Drosophila melanogaster: one gene and its partner. The protein of the gene in region 1 purifies or fractionates together with the protein of each later gene. This does not show direct contact. Each region holds a gene or a part of one and is shown on either strand. Other genes may lie near its edges.

Evidence for each region. The genes of interacting proteins can lie anywhere in the genome.
Region 2: the proteins of Hpr1 (region 1) and thoc7 purify together in Drosophila melanogaster (affinity purification with mass spectrometry, with the first as the bait; 2 studies listed by BioGRID). This does not show direct contact.

What each region holds. Positions count from the first base shown.
Region 1 is NT_033777.3:5,816,698-5,825,138, reverse strand, and holds Hpr1 (Hpr1), read left to right. Parts: upstream 1-3,698; 5' UTR 3,699-3,806; coding exon 3,807-3,884; intron 3,885-3,951; coding exon 3,952-4,635; intron 4,636-4,792; coding exon 4,793-5,079; intron 5,080-5,137; coding exon 5,138-5,440; intron 5,441-5,494; coding exon 5,495-6,248; 3' UTR 6,249-6,345; downstream 6,346-8,441. Other genes in the region: dgrn (degringolade), read right to left, coding at 1-103, 164-190; Sec20 (secretory 20), read left to right, coding at 698-778, 832-1,434; CG46303 (uncharacterized protein), read right to left, coding at 2,792-3,058; CG42675 (uncharacterized protein), read right to left, coding at 6,381-6,890, 6,952-6,987, 7,072-7,623, 7,860-8,045.
Region 2 is NT_037436.4:208,394-216,287, forward strand, and holds thoc7 (thoc7), read right to left. Parts: upstream 4,295-7,894; coding exon 4,225-4,294; intron 4,167-4,224; coding exon 4,052-4,166; intron 3,987-4,051; coding exon 3,305-3,986; 3' UTR 3,243-3,304; downstream 1-3,242. Other genes in the region: Prp4k (Pre-mRNA processing factor 4 kinase), read right to left, coding at 1-515, 578-686, 749-981, 1,042-1,320, 1,391-2,345, 2,422-2,826, 2,899-2,915; Dis3l2 (Dis3 like 3'-5' exoribonuclease 2), read left to right, coding at 4,357-4,391, 4,451-5,583, 5,639-7,058, 7,112-7,231, 7,290-7,716. UniProt on the Drosophila melanogaster protein: The THO complex is required for cell proliferation and for proper export of heat-shock mRNAs under heat stress.

The DNA.
Region 1 (8,441 bases):
ATTCTATGGATGAATGGGAGTCCACAGAAGAGTCGGATACACTGGAATTGGAGCTCGAACTGGATACGTTGCTGTCCGCTGACTGATCAAGAATGGATGAGTTCTACTAAATAAATCAATCATAAATCGGAATTAACTAGTTTAAAGTCCAGGGTATACTTACAAAACGGAAAATAGTCGAATCTGACATTGTTCGAGCAACAAATGACCAGGAAACTTGTGAAATGATTTCGTAGTAAAGACAAAAGCAGGTGAACCCAGATATACATGTGCTTTAGTGCAGATTGAAATGTGCAAAATAGTTTCCTCCTTTCACGCGACCATTCGGTTATTTTAAAGATGACACTTTACGGACATTCGGGAACAAGGATTTAAGATCGACTATCGATTTTTGCGGTATTATACAATGCTGTTTAGAATGACACTTGTAATTCAATAAAAATCAATAATTTATTAAAAATAAAATTTCCGTTTCGGCGAAATTCTTTGATAACAAAATAATTATAAGAAATGTATATAAATATGTCGACATTACAAAACCATACCATCACTATGTAAACGATATTTTTTAGGCGATTAAATGCCATCGATATATACCGTGCCGTGGTAGTGTTAGAAAATTGCGGGAATTAACGTTAAATGCACGTCACCAAAGCAGAATAATAGAATATTTTCGAAACAAAACAAAGTTGGAGACATGGACAAGGATGCGTTTACATTACAGGCCATACGGCAGGACCTTATCGATAACAATCTGCAGGCTAAGGCAATAATACACGTAAGTCTCCGCTATCTGAAGAGAAACCCTCATTACCGAGCTTCTGTTTTTAGGACATCCTGAACAGCCGCACCTCCATCGCCGAACTCGAGGAGCTGAACGAAGCGGGCCGCTCCAAACTGTCTGCTATCCGCAAAAGCATCGAGCGGCTGGACGACTGGGCGCGGGACACGGCAGACTCTGCGCTGGCCAATGAAGTGGACGACCACCGTGATCAGTTCTCCAAAACGCTGCAGGCGTTCCGAAAAGCAAACGTGTCCACGATGCTGGAGATCGAGAAGGCCAATCGGGAGGAGTTAATGGCCATTACCGGCGAGAGTGAGCTACGCCAACGAACCACAACACGGGCGCGGCACAACCAGGGCAGTCTGGTTTCGCAGGAGAACGACGTGACCGAGAAGATGCTGGCTATATCGCGGCACCTCTCGGAGACCACCCAGAAGAGCGCCATCACCCTGGAAACGCTCGTGGCCTCGTCGCAAAATGTGGAGGCCACCAGCGACGAACTGCACCACACGGCCGGCAGCATTAGCATGTCCGGCAAGCTGCTCAAAAAGTACGGACGACGCGAGTGCACTGACAAAATGCTGCTCTTCTTCGCCTTCTCCTTGTTCCTCGCCTGTGTCTTTTACATCGTCCAAAAGCGACTCTTCTAAGACTCCACAAATGGACAAAACCCGTTCCCAAAATAGCTTAAGGTTGTCGCTTCTGTTGTCTAGGTATAGCTAGATTAAGCTTAGCACATGACCATACCTTGTAAGCACAGCTCCTATATTTATATTATTTAGTGATTTGCCTAAGTTGTAAACGTGGTACAGCCAAAGACCCTAGAATAACAAGATGCGTAACGCCATACGATTTTTTGGCACACGATTTTTTGGCCGTGGCTCTAGAGGTGGCTCCAGGCTCTCTCGAATTTTTGTTAGAGAGCGAGAGAGCGAAGAGCGCTACAGCGAACAGCTCTTTTCAACGCACAAAGTGATAGCAGACATCTGTATGTGTGCACACGTATTCACATGCATTGTAAATTTGACAAAATATGCCCTTCACCTTAGAAGTTCTTTGGCTTTAAATCTATATTATTTTTTATCAATTGGCACCATGCGAAAAATTCTTGTTTTGCATTGCCTTAACGTTATTATTATTTGAAAATAGATTAGAAATAGTCAAATCTATGTACATATTATCACAAAAATAAATTTCAAAAATGAATTTATATAAGAATATTTGTCATTAGAGTATTCATCTTGCGGCGTGTGAAAAATTAATAAGGCAATGATTGTTGAGTGCTTGTGTCCGCACTTCGTGCCTCAAGATATGAACAAAGCAAAGACACTAGAATAATTCTATTGTCTTTGATATTACTTTTGCAATTTAATTTAATTGCATATTTAATTATTTAGTATATTTATTAAATCATTTGACTTAATATGATGTAACATTAACATTAAAAGTGTTTCAAAAAAAATATTTCGGTTTTAAAAAATTGTCAGATGAGAGACAAATTAGAATTAAACATAAATACAAATGTGTAAACGGTAGCTAATTCGAGCGGCGATTTTAACAAAGAAATTTAAAAAAGCTTTAAAATTATAATAGCCAGGGCGCGAATTTTTAAAAATTTTTTATTTTATCATATTGCTAGGAAATTGGCAAAAACTACCCTAATATGTACCATGTAAATTCGTTTCTTCGATCAGAATTGATTTCGGCCCGAAAATCGTCTTCTAGCACAACACGCACACTTATACGCGTTCTCGTCTCTTGTTTTTACTCACACAAGCAAGCAAATTATATTTTTAGATTTCTTACGCTCTAAGCGGGAGTGAGCGGAAAGAGAGTAATTTTGGCCGTCACCAAAAAAGTGGCTGCATAGTGCCAAACCAATGTATGGCCGTTACGCATCTTGTTATTCTAGTGTCTTTGGTACAGCCTAGTATAGTATGGTAAATGCAATTTATTTTTATTTAGAATATATGAGTGTTGTATATGTAGATAAAAATGTTAAGCAAGTTAGTAAGGGCACCTAGGCACTCCTCCGGGGTTTGTGAATCCGTTGGTGTTGACCAACCTGCAGATGTCCTTGTATGACCGCGCCGATTTTGCAGGCCTTTCTGGCTGTGGCTGGGAATAACCTCTGTTGTAATAGTCAGGATAGAACTGGAACCAAGAAGGCCTGTGGTAGTTGTAGTCGGGAAAAAATTCTTTAAGCACAGAGCTGCTGCAGAATCTGCTTAGCCCCAGAATCCACAGCAGAATGTATATAATCGACTTGCGCATGGCCACTTCGCCTGAGCTTAAGATTTGGAATAAAGCCGTACCCGATTCTCATTGTATACGCCTGGCGCACTTATGAAGCTTGTGCGACCTCGCACACAGTGGGAAAGTAATTGGAATCTGAAATCTATGCGTGATTGTCGGAATAGCTGATAGCGGGAGTGTTCGCGTGCCCCAGCTCAATGCTATCGTTATCTACAAACCATTCGGCCTTTAAATTGATGTATGATGAAAGTTTATTCAATGTGTGGTTTTTGACGTTTAATAAGAAAAATTCGATTTTGAGAAATGCATTTAAAATGCAATTTTTATTTATCGCAGTGAAGAATAAAATAATATATTTTTTCATTATATTTGTTACCAATTTAACAAAAATATTATGTAGTTGCTTTTTTAAAAGTCTTTCGGGTCAATAAGAAAAAAAAAGCTTACAAACAGAGTATTATGTTCTAAGGAATAGGACCTAAAAACCCTCATTACCTAATTGGTGTTTCAAAAACAGGTTTATGTGGTGCAAAAGGACAAATTTTGCTAACAAAAAAAAAAAAACACTTTTTTAAAAAAACTAACTTACAGGCGCCTAAAAAAAATTATAATCGATTTGTCATCGATTTTTTGGTCTTTAAAGTACTATAGCGGCGCATTATATACTAACCAAAACGAGTTGGCAGCACTCGTGATGTTTTGATTGAAAAAACAAATTAGTTTATTGTTTTTATCTGTTGTCGCCAAAAATATTATTTAAATCAATATGAGCACCGCCGTAGAAGTGGCTAACACGGCTCCGGAGAAGTTGGCCAACTACTTTGCGCTACAGTCGGCGTTTGAGGTAAAACGTTGATGAATGGCCCCGAAACCGGCAATGTTCCGATCTGATAGAAAATAATAATTTTCAGAAAGCCCTTGAATTGGCCATCACCGACGGCAAAGTGGAGCTGTTGGTCAAGGAGTACAATAGATTCCCGGCCAACACCGAGCACGACAAGCGCTTACCCATGGACCACGCGTTCCGCGTGCTCCTGATGAAGCGGCTGGACGAAGATGTGAGTCGCATTGGAGAGCTTGTACGCCTCTCCGTGGAAGCCACGCGGGCCGAGATTGTGTCCAACACCATACCCGTGGTTCTGCTGATCGACACCTTCGACGTGGTCACTCTGGACAAGTGCCAGAAGATATTTCAGTTTGTCGAGGATATGGTGGAGGTGTGGAAGGAGGAGATCTTCTTTTCCTCATGCAAGAACAACATTCTACGCATGTGCAACGACCTGCTGCGTCGACTTTCGCGCACCCAGAACACCGTCTTCTGTGGCCGCATCCAGCTTTTCCTCTCAAAGTTCTTTCCCTTTTCGGAGCGGTCTGGCCTCAACATCGTCTCCGAATTCAACCTGGACAACTTTACGGAGTACGGTCTGGACAGCAAAGACCACGACGAAAGCGACAACAAGGAGCTGGAGGATACCGCTGAGGACATCCCCCTAAAGATCGACTACGACCTGTACTGCAAGTTTTGGTCGCTGCAGGACTTTTTCCGAAATCCCAACCAGTGTTACAATAAGCCGCAGTGGAAGATGTTCCAGATGGTAAGCAGTGGCTTGGCACAATTACAATTGTAGAATATATATATATCTTGGAAAGAGATCAAAGATGTTTGCCAGCTAGCTTGCTCATAAATATTGGTTATTAATAATCCTGCCCCATGTTGGTTCATATTCATATATTGTTACTTTCCCCTTCCAGCACGCTGACAACATACTACAGTCCTTCTCGAGCTTCAAGCTGGAAGACGTGCGCCAAAGTAGCAACGAAAATGCGAGCGGTACTGACCAAGCAATGGATGTGGACGAGGAGGCAGTAGACACCACGGCGGTGTCTTCCGTCATCAAGGCGAATCACTTCTTCGCCAAGTTTCTAACCAATCCCAAGCTTTTGGCTCTGCAGCTCTCCGACGCTAATTTTCGACGTGCTGTTCTGGTGCAGTTTCTAATTCTATTTCAGTACCTGCAAGTCAGTGTAAAGTTTAAAAGGTTCGAATATGAAGAAAGTCCAGGGAAAACGAACAAACTTTAATGATTGTACTTTCAGTGATACTCAAACCTTGACTGCAGACCAGGCGGACTTTATCAAGGAAACAGAGTCGCGTGTTTATAAGTTGCTAGAGGAGACACCACCGTACGGTAAGCGGTTTTCACGGACAGTGTATCACATGCTGGCCCGCGAAGAGATGTGGAACAACTGGAAGAACGAAGGCTGCAAGGAATTCAAGAAGCCCGAGGAACCAACTCTCAGCGAAGAGGACTCGAAGCCAACTCCCAATAAAAGACCGCGCCGTCCATTGGGCGATGCACTGCGCGATGCTTCCCGCAGCGGCAAGTTTTATTTGGGAAAGTAAGTATCGAACGTAAGTCAAACTAAGCCAGTTCTAAAATATTTCACTTCCAGTGACAACCTAACACGTTTGTGGAACTACTCTCCAGATAACTTGCAGGCCTGCAAAAGTGAACAGCGAAACTTCCTACCGCTGCTGGAGACATATTTAGAAACGCCGCACGAAAAGGTTGATCCCGCTTTTGAGTGGCGAGCTCTGCGCTTGCTTGCCCGCCAAACACCGCACTTCTTTACGTCGCTCTCTCAGCCATCGAGCAAGATCTCCGATTATCTTGAGCAAGTGCGCAAACGTCTCATCCGGGACAAAGAGCCCAAACCTGCTGCCCTTTTATCGAACAACTCTTCTGAGAACAATTTTGGCCTGTCGGTCAACAACGTTCATACGGAGGGCGAGCAGGATGCTACGGTCGCCCTTCAGGACGGTGAACCAGAGCAGGATCTTGAAGTAGAGGACAACGAACCTGTGGTGGAAGAGGTGGATGAGGTACCGGCGCACGAGAAACCCCTTATGGTTACCAAAGAGCATATCGAAGAGGTGGCGCCCCTTATAGGCGAGCCATGGATGAAGGTGGGAAAGAAGATTGGCTTCACCAACGATGAACTTCTCTTCTTTCAAATGGAGCATCCTACGGCGAACGTGGCCTGCGTTAAGATGCTGACAAACTGGATATCCGATGACGACGACGCCACCCTGGAAAACTGGGCGTACATGCTAGAGGGATTGGAGATGAATAAGGCCGCCGAAGCGGTGAAGGCGATTATTGAGCGCGAAAAATCTGGATCCACTGCCGCCTTCTGCCTCCGGTAACGACGATGAGGTGCTCTCTGATTAGCATCATCCCCATGCCGATCCCACCCTAGTTATTATAATTTCGTTTCAATCATAAAACTTCTTTATCACAAGTAAAAGAATGGGCGAATATCTATTCCCAATCACCACTCAACGCCTCTTGGCCGGCGGACCGTTACGGGGCTTGTTGTGCACCATGTTAACGCACTTGGGGATATGACGCTCCGCAGCCTGTTCGTTGAATCGGCGACCACAGTGGGGACACTGGACATAGTCTGGATTCTCCGAAGGTGGCGGTGGTGGCAGGTCGCTCAACTTGCCGCCGCGCGCCAAGTGCGCCTTCACCTGCTTGGCCGCTCTAATCGACTGAATGAAGTCCTCGTGCTTCTTACGCCAGTTGTTCTTCTTCACTCCAGTGGTCAGACCCTTCTGCTGGGCAGCACTACTGTAAGTTGAACGGTTGCGATTGCCCTTCGACTTCATATTGAACGCCGCGGCCTCGGTGCCCTCGATCCGCTGCTTGGAGGCATCGAATATCTTGCGTTTGGTGGTCAGCATGCGCTGGCACACCTCCTCGTGCTTCGCCAGACGATCCGTGTTGAAGTGGCGTCCGCAGTAGCGGCATAAAGCGGTGCCCTCTGGGATTGCAGTCGTTGTGTCCTGGTAGCGAAGGGTAATCTTATTATACGCCCACTGCCGACAATTATTCTGCTATACTCACCATGTTGACCTTTTTAACTGGTGATTTGGGTTCCGCCTTGTTGGAAACAGACATTTAAAATAAATCCCAAATATGTTTAGCTTGAGACTGACACCTCCGTGCCACGTCGATGCTACTTACCCGTCGAACAAATGGTGGCGAAAGACGACCGGCTGTCGGGGCAGCACCGGTTCCTCCACTTACTCGTTGGGTCGCCTGAATCTTGGGACTGCGTTGTGGCGCGGGAGAACGTTGGTGGAGCGTGGTCTCCTGGGCCGGCGGTGTCTTGCGGGTGACCACGGGCTTAAGGTTGCGATTCAAAGTCCCGCGGGGCGTGGCGAACTTATTGTTATTGCTGTCACTAGTGATCCTCCTGCCTGGTGCATTTGGTGCATCCCGCATGGTCAAGTCGGCCACGCCCTTGACGAGACGCTGCATTGGGGGCTGCGGGCGAGATTTTGTTTGGGCGGGTGGCGAGGGCAGAGTGCCGATCGGCTTGAGGGGATTGCTGCGATCAATGCCCGCCCCGCGGCGGCGCTCGTCGAACATCTGGCGCACTTTCCCATTCCCGATCAACCTGGTGGTGGCGGCACTGGGTGCTCCAGTGGCCAGGTTCTCGGCACTTGACTTCGTGCTCATCAGCTCCCGCCTACGCACCTCCTGCTCCTGTTGCGTGCGCTGCTGGAAACGCATCTGAAAATTGAAGCACATTTGTTGTAAATAATTCGCTTATAATTTTCAAATCAAAACCTAGTGACCTTTTTAAAATAAAAGACTTTCCATTCAATTAGCCTTTCGTGAAAACCGAAAACATTTAAAATATCAATCATCATTTAACTGATTGCTTTGTAATTTCACCCTTTTTAATTTTCAAAAAAATGTTTTCTGTTGCAAAATGGAATTCAAAATTGCTTTCTTTTTTGGCTTACGGGTGCAGAATTTGTGCTGCTATTGCCACTAGGTGGCAGGTGACTCAAAGCCTCCATGAGGCGCCTTGCTGCCCAGGACTCGTTCAGCTTCAGGGGCAGGATGTGATCCTGGCCGAGCTCGGATTCGAAGTCGTACTGGAGCAGCTCTCCGTCCACGTCCTCGTCCCCGTCCGTCGCTTGCAACATTCCGGTCCGGAGAGCGCGTGACAACTAAGCACACGGGACTGGGGCTGGACATTAGCGCGTCCACTTCCCCCGAGTGGAGTCATTAAGTGCACAGGTTTCGGTGTGTTTGCTCGTCTATTGTGGCGATGGGGAGGTGTCACCCCCGCTTTTGGTGCCACCTCCAGGCCCCAGCGAATAAATCCGTGCCCACTTACGTGCCGCCAGTACATAAAGCTCCTAGCCACCCGACCCGCCTGGGCGAAAGAAACCCTATCCTGTGCCCGGGAACGGGTCGCGGGCAGGGATATTGGTGTGGGTGCGGGTGTGGGTGTGGATGTGGACGTGGTTGTGGGCATGCTCTTCCCGCTGTTGTCCCTTCAACTAGTGCGCTTGTCTTCTGCCTCTGGTGTCCTGGTA
Region 2 (7,894 bases), on another chromosome or scaffold:
TCATGGTAGAGAAAGTTGCAGCTTTGGTCAAAATGCTGCTCTCTAAACTGACCTTTTCTGATAATTCGGTTTGGTATCTTGCCTTTTACGTCCATGAAAAACTTAAGCATCTGATTGTTACTTTTCCCGCTAAACAGAATCTTTCCCGTGTATAACTCATAAATTGTGCAGCCCGCAGACCAGGTGTCGATTCCGTAGTCATAGGGAATACCCAAAATTATCTCAGGCGAACGGTAGAACCGCGATACCAAGTACGGTGTTATTTCGTTGTCGCTGATTGCCGAAGCAGAACCAAAATCACACAATTTTAGTATCAGATTATTTTCGTTTACCAAAATGTTATCCGGCTTAATGTCAGCATGCAAAATGCCCGTCTTTTTTAACAATTTGAGCGCTAAGAATAGCTGCTGCGTGTAGCTACGCACTGCTTTGATGTGGAGTCCCACATTCTTGCCATACTTTTTAAGTACTTCCCGCAAATTCATTGCTAATGGCTCAAACACCATACAAAGATGCTATAGTGGAAATATAAAGATTGCAATTCAGTCGACACTAAGTTGTACAAACGATGAATTACCTGCTTGTGAAAGAAGTGACGATACAGTCGCAGGCAGTGGAAACGATCCTCTGGATCGGCATCGTTCAGCTTTTTTAATATTTCTAGTTCCCGCAAGCCAGTTTTGTGCCTAATAAAAGAAACAAACGGCATAAATAGGCATACAAATACAAAAAATTACAAAATACATACATTATTTCGTTGTTCCGTATGATCTTAATGGCTACATTAGCTTGCCCACGAGCTTGGTCTCTGCCACGCACTACGTTGCTGAAGACACCCTGGCCTGTGTATCCATTCACTAGGTAGCGATTGTCCAAAACTTCACCGATACGAACTCGGTAATAACCTTCAGCGTCGTCCCAATTGTCTGTGAGAGCGGGATTTTCGTGTTGATGCTTATTTTGGACGATTGTGTTGGGTGACTGGTGGGATTTGAACTCGGAATTAATAAATGGAATGAAGAATTTGAGTTTGAAATTTACAATTTTGCGACTCACATCGAAATTAGAGTCCACGTCTTGGTCAGCGAACATATCCCACTCGTTTCGTTTTTCCTTCGCGGAGCAAGTCTTTTGGCTAGTCGAGTTATCCATATCTTCGCGATCCTTTGGAATTTCCGAGATAAGTGGATTCGGGCACGGCATCGTGGGCGACGGCGTTCTTAAAGGTCTTTCGCGTTGGGATGACCCTTGTGAGGTACTCCGAGACTCGTACGAGACCGAGTTATGAGGCGCTGGCGATTCTTGCCCAGTGCCCAGCTTCTGATTACAGTTATAGGAGAAAAACAATAAGTTTACACTAACAAATATTAAAAACAAAATGTTTCCCTACCTTGAGTAGCTCCTCGCGCTTCTTTCTACGTAGCTCAATGATACGTTCTTCGTCATCTTCCTCCAAAATGTCAATGTTTACGTTCACCTCCTCATCACTGCTCTCCTTGTCGAGCTTATTTTGCCCCTCGCTCAGCGAACCCTTGTACCGATCTCTATCCCCGTTGTCTGTCCCGCTGCGAGCTCCTACGCGCCCGCCACCACGATCCCGGTCCTTTTGCCGCTCCCGCTCTCGTCGCCTGTCTGATTCAAACTTACTGCGGCTGTGCGACCGCTGCATACGACTCGGCCGAACGTCTCGCTCCCGTGCACGACCTGGTCTCATATCAGTGGGTGGCGGCGGCCTATCCAATCCTCGCCGATCCCGGTCTCGACTATGGTCCCGTCTTTCCCTTTGCTTGTCGCGATTTATTTCCTGTCGTAGGTCCTCCATGTTGCGGTTGCGGCTCCGCGGGCGAACCTGGGTCTGCTGATCTGATGCTCGCCGACGTGGGGGTGAACGGTCGCGATCCCTCGAACGACGATCCCTACGGCAACGGCTTCTCGGAGCCGCTGGGAGCGGGGATGCGTGGCGCCTTCGTTTCTCGGGTGTAGGCGAGGGGGTTCGCTGGCCTCCGCTAGAATCATCCAACAATATAACATCGGATTCATTTGAGTTATGCGTGGTAGACTTTTTAATATTAGCATGTTTACTGGTTGCAGTAGCCAACGGCGCTGCAGACTTGCTGGGTTGGGGCTGCGGTACGGATGTGACAGCTTTGAGCACTGATTTGGTGTGGACAACCAGCTGCTGCGAGTGTGTGTGTGGGAGGAGATCGCCCTTATCCTCAGCCTCGGGATCCGACATATAGGCGCCCAGGCGCGCCTGCAGAAGGGCCTTCTGCCGCATCAATTCCTCCAAATTAAGCTCGTCTTCAATAATAGACAAAATAATAGGACTGGCGGCATCGGCGGGCCTAAAATCAAGAAAGATAAGTGCGAACACCATATGAATTACGAAATCGCTCCCCTATTTTATTCCACAATACTTACACATCGCTTTCGCTGCTTGAACTGGCCACCTCCAGGACAGGCAGCATCTTATTCTGAATAGTTTTGGTGATTTCTTCAACAAGGCTGCTCGGATCCGTCGGAAGCAGGGGTTTGCCGACACGGAAATCGGCTCCATTCCGGCTGGCCTTCTGCATGATTTCTGTGAACTTGCTGCTCAGCCCGCAATTTTGTGATAGCTTTAACTTTGCGTTTTCCGGGGCGTCCGATTCGTTTGTGGATTCGCTTGTTCGGTGGGGGCGCTTTTTTGCCTTCTTCTGCTTCTTGTGGACATGCCTGTCCTTCTCGGTCTTGCCAGTCGAGGATTTTTTATGTTTTTTGTGCTTTTTAGCCTTTTTGTGCTTGGCCCGACGCTCTTCGGTCTCGCTGTTGTTGCTGGAGTCGTAGCTATTCGGTACAAGAGGGGAGCAGCCCAGGTCAATACACACACGTGCGGTCGGCTTAGTAAAATTAACCTACCTTTTGTCGTCAGCCATTATTTGATTGTTTAACAATGTAAACTGCAGATGCGCGCACACTGTGCGTTCATAAGGTGTGCGGTAATTCTGCAGATGGCTAATGAAACTTGTAATTTTCCTCTTATTGTATTCTTCCTCTTCGTAGCTTTTTTAGTGTGACTGCACGCCGGACAAAAGTAAATACGTTTTAAAAATACCTCCTGGGATTTCGGAATTATTTCTAGTATATATGCAAGTAAAATAAAAATATATTAAAATTAAATTTTATAACCCTTAAATATCGTCTTTGGCGCAAGTCTAAATTGGAAATAAAAACGAAGGAATTTCGAAACAACAGTTGAATTTGTATATTATAGTTCATGACATTTTATTTTTTTGTTTTTATTGTACATGCTAGCGCTTCTAACCTAATTGGCAACAGCTACATCCACGTCGTGCTCATCTTTGTCGATGCTTAGCTCAAGCACCGTGTCCTCTTCTACGGACATGGCTTTAGAGTCCTCAGTAGAGACTGAGTGATATTTGGGCTCGCCGCGGGCTCCGTCGAACTTTGTGGGAGTGCTATTGTTGAGATCGTCGTCTTCATCGCTTACCTCCATGATCCCATTGTCGTCTAGGTCCGGCTCAGAGCGGGCATCGCAATCGCTGGACGAGGAGGATGCCGAGGATGAGCTGTCCTGGTCCAGCTGCTGTTCCAGCTCGTGAATCGTGTACATCAGCAAAGTGAAGTCATTGCGTCGTTTCTGAAACTTGCGCTCCATCTTTAGCTTCTTTTGCACCAAGTCGTCAATCTCCCTCCTAATGGTCTCAATATGTCGCTGTGTTTCACTGCGGTCCGGTTGGTCCTGGATGAGCGAGGCCAGCAGGTCGTACTCCATCTTGTTCTTGCGAATCTGCTTGGCAGTGATTAGCTCTTTTTTACTGGATTCGATTTCCGCTTTAGCCAAAACAATACTTTCTTCGTGGTGTTCAACTAGTTGTGTGTAGTTGTCACGCTCACCGGCGATCATCTGCAGAGTTTGTACATTCTTTAACGCAGTGAGCTTGCACTGGGCGAATTGGGCCATCAGTCGGTCGTACATGATGGGACTGTAATTCGGAAAAGAGGAGATATGTACACCATGTTTTGAATACACACATATCCAATTTCTTACTTGCTGTCCAGCGAGTCACTGGCCCACTTCAAGAACTGTTTCAGCAACACTACTATTCTCCGATCCTCTCCAGTTCCATCCCCGTCAATCAGCAGGCGCTGCTTTATGATTTCTTCTGGAAGATCAGTTTAAATATCTATTCCCAAATGCGAAAATAAACAAAAACAACTTACCGTCATTCATCTCCACTAATTTCCGAACTAGCGTATCGGAGTGTGGCCGAAGCTGACACTGCTCCGACATACCACGCAGTACGGTCCTACTGTACTTGTCCTATCATTTTAATTTGGAGAAAGTATTGAATTATGCCTTACCCTTTATATCCCGCCCATAGCCAAGTGTAGTGCCGTACACTTTCGGACATCAGCGAATCCCATTAACTAAGTGCACTTCTTGCAGAATGTCGGAAACGTCAAGCGTCAACGTGGATGCGGACCGAGATTGCAGAAGGATTGAGGGCCTCCGACAGCGCTCACAACGCCTTGCTGCCCGCCTCCAGCAGATGCAGAGGGAAATGGAGTCTAATGCATCCAGCAAAGACCTATCGGCCAACAATGCCGTTATTCCGCTGCAGCCACTAATGCGCTGGGCGGAACCACGGCCACATCCCAACCAATCCCAACCATCTGCTCGGAGCAACAGCAGGCAGGCCATTCCTTACGGTGTGCCAGTATCCACGCCAGCGCCGGTAGCTATGCAATTGCCCTACCACGTAGCATTCGCCTCCTACCAGGCGACCATGCAGATTCCCTGCCTTCAGCCACTTTCGCATTTGCACGTCGTGTCTAGTCCCAGCCATCGGTTAATAGCGAAAAAGAAGTCGAAGCGGGCTCTTCGAAATGAGGTGGAAGCTCTTCAGGATATGGTCAAACATCTTTCACACCTCTCCCCAGATGTTAACGCGTATGCCTGCCAGCTGATACGTAAAAACGAGATCCTTTCTCAGCTCGAGTGGAGTCAGACCAGGTCAGAAGCACATCCGCAACAGGTTGGTTACCAGGGGCGGCATCGCCACGATTCTGAGGTCTCTGCTACAAACAATGGAAGTCATGTACAGCAGCAACCGAAACTAGGACGAAGGCAACGCAATAGCAAGAAAAACGATGGATCCGGTAGCAATGGGACCCAATCGCAAAAAACCGAACTAGAGGCCATGCGGTCGTACATAAACAAGATTGTCCAACGTCACGTGGGTATGGATCACCAGTTGTCGGAAGACTTGATTTTCAAAGGTAACTTCTCCGACCTGGAAGCGCATGCGCAGAGACTAGTTGCGGCGGGTTATGGGCGCATTGTAGAAGAGGAAATCCGGGTTAACCGCAAGAACAACAGACAGGCCTTTATAATCATGTCCACTGATCGAGAAGCACTCGAACGAGATGGCATCGTGCTCTTGCCAGTGGCTAGGCGCTATGCCTTCGATGGTGACAAAGTACGTGCATTCGTGCTAAACCCTGGTGCTCAGGGTAGTTCAAAGACAGCTGAGCCCTCGTCTGGTGAAATCTCTGGTGGGAAGCCCTCATTATCTCTTGGTAAGTTTATCGGCAAACTTATAATACTTTCGACTGATGATAATATCCTATAAAGCGGATGGTGAGGAGCTTTCGGACGATACCGAGTCCCAGGGCTCTGAGTCCGATACCGACAACGTGGTCGTGATATCGTCGGACAACTGCCCTAAAGCGTTCGTCATAGCAATAACTAAACGAACTGAGCTCCGCCAGATCGTGGGAACCATATCGTTTACGAACCCAACCAAACTCTGTGACGACCAGCTATTCTACAAATTCCGACCGTACGATTTGCGTGTCCCCATGGTCTACGTTCCGAAGGATGCCTGTGCCGCCCACATCGGAAACAAGCAGCAAATAGACGTGTCCGGCCTCTTATACCTTGCCCATATACTCGAGACAGATTGCAATGGGCACTGCATCGCTGAACTAATCCAGCCGGTTGGCCGCGTGGGTAATTTGGATGACGAACTTAAGGCAATTCTGTTTCATAACGGTCTCCGGGATATAAAGCCATTTGAGCAACGATTTATCGACATTTACTCCCAGCCGCCACCTCCGATAAGCCAAGAGGATCTGCGTCAACGAAAAGACTTAAGAAAGATGTGCATATTTACTATAGATCCGATGACTGCTCGCGATTTGGATGACGCCGTTTCTATAGAGAAGCTAGGCGACAACGAATATGAGATTGGCGTCCATATATCCGATGTTTCGCACTTCCTGATAGAGGACAATGAACTGGATAACATAGTGAAGGAACGCTCTACGTCTATTTATTTAGCCAACGAGGTAATCCACATGCTGCCTCAGTCTCTATGCATGCGATGTTCCCTGCTCCCTGGGCAAGACAAGTTTGCTTTTTCCGTCTTCTGGCGGATGAACGGGAAGGGAGTCATGCTGCAAAAGAAGCCAGAATTTTGCCGCACAGTCATTAACTCTTGCTCGCAATTTGCTTATGAACACGCTCAAAAGATCATCGACAACCCTAATGAACGGTTTACCGAGAACGACTTTCCGACCATCCTGAATGGATTTAATCCCGATGATATCAGAAATAGGGTGCTATGGCTGCACGACATTGCAAGCTCCATCCGTAAGACACGTTTAGACAATGGCGCACTCACAATTAACAATGCCAAGCTACGCTTCCTGCTCGATCCAATTACTGGCGAGCCGTTGTCTTTTGAAGTGGAGAAACAGCGAGAGGCTAACCGGCTGATTGAAGAGTTTATGCTCCTGGCCAACCAGGCAGTCGCCCGCTTTATACACGACTCCTTTCCGGATATCGCTGTACTGCGTAACCACCCTCCGCCACTTATTAAGTCCCTTAAGGCTTTAAGGGAAAAGCTGCTTGCTCTGGGATTCGAATTGGACTATAGCTCGTCTAAGGCGCTCCAGGAGAGCATGGTGCGGTTGTGCAATGAGGCGCCCAATCCTGTCGCAATGAATGCCTGCCTAAGTCAGCTTTTGATGAAACCAATGGCCCGTGCAACGTGAGTGTCTCAGTTTTCAAATAATTACTCTTCCCACAATTTCCCCCCTTTAGATATTTTTGTAGCGAGGGTAAATCGGAACCGGCTGACCTGTGGCACTACGCCTTGTCCATACCCATATACACTCACTTTACTAGCCCAATCCGTCGGTATCCTGATATTTTGGTGCACCGGTAACTGTCACTTACCTTGGAAGTTCGCCTCCCGTACTTAAAATTTCCTCCACTCTAGACTTTTGGCGGCCGCACTTAAATATTGTACACCGCCTAAACGTACCCCAGATGATTTGCACACCTTAACGAAATTAGCGAATGAGCGCAAGTACAATGCGAAAAAGGCCGGAGAGGACTCTGGTAACTTGTACTTCAAACGATATGTTCACAACAAGCAGGGCATATACATGCGAGCTGTGGTCATTGAAATATTTCAGCATATGATGAACGTAGTTACTCTGGAGTCGGGCCACGTTATAAGCATTAACTACAAAATGCAAAAGGTCCTCGTAGACACACACGGCGTACCCAATTACATTCTTATTGCCGAGCGCAACTTAAAGCAGTCACCTAGGAAGTTGCAGCTGCTTTCCGTGGTCCCCATATGTCTGATCATTTGGGACCAAAAACTAACTGGATTTTTAAAGATGGAAGAACAAATTTAGGAAAAAAAGGAGCAGACGAGCAGATGTAATTCTTCGCATAGGAACAACCCAAAGCAACTGCACCGTATTTTTTCAATAAGCCAAAAAAGTTTATAACTACACACAGAGGGAACATCAATTTTGTTTAAGAGATTCCTTCTGTTTCAGTGTCGTTAAATGAAAAATCAAAAAAATCGAA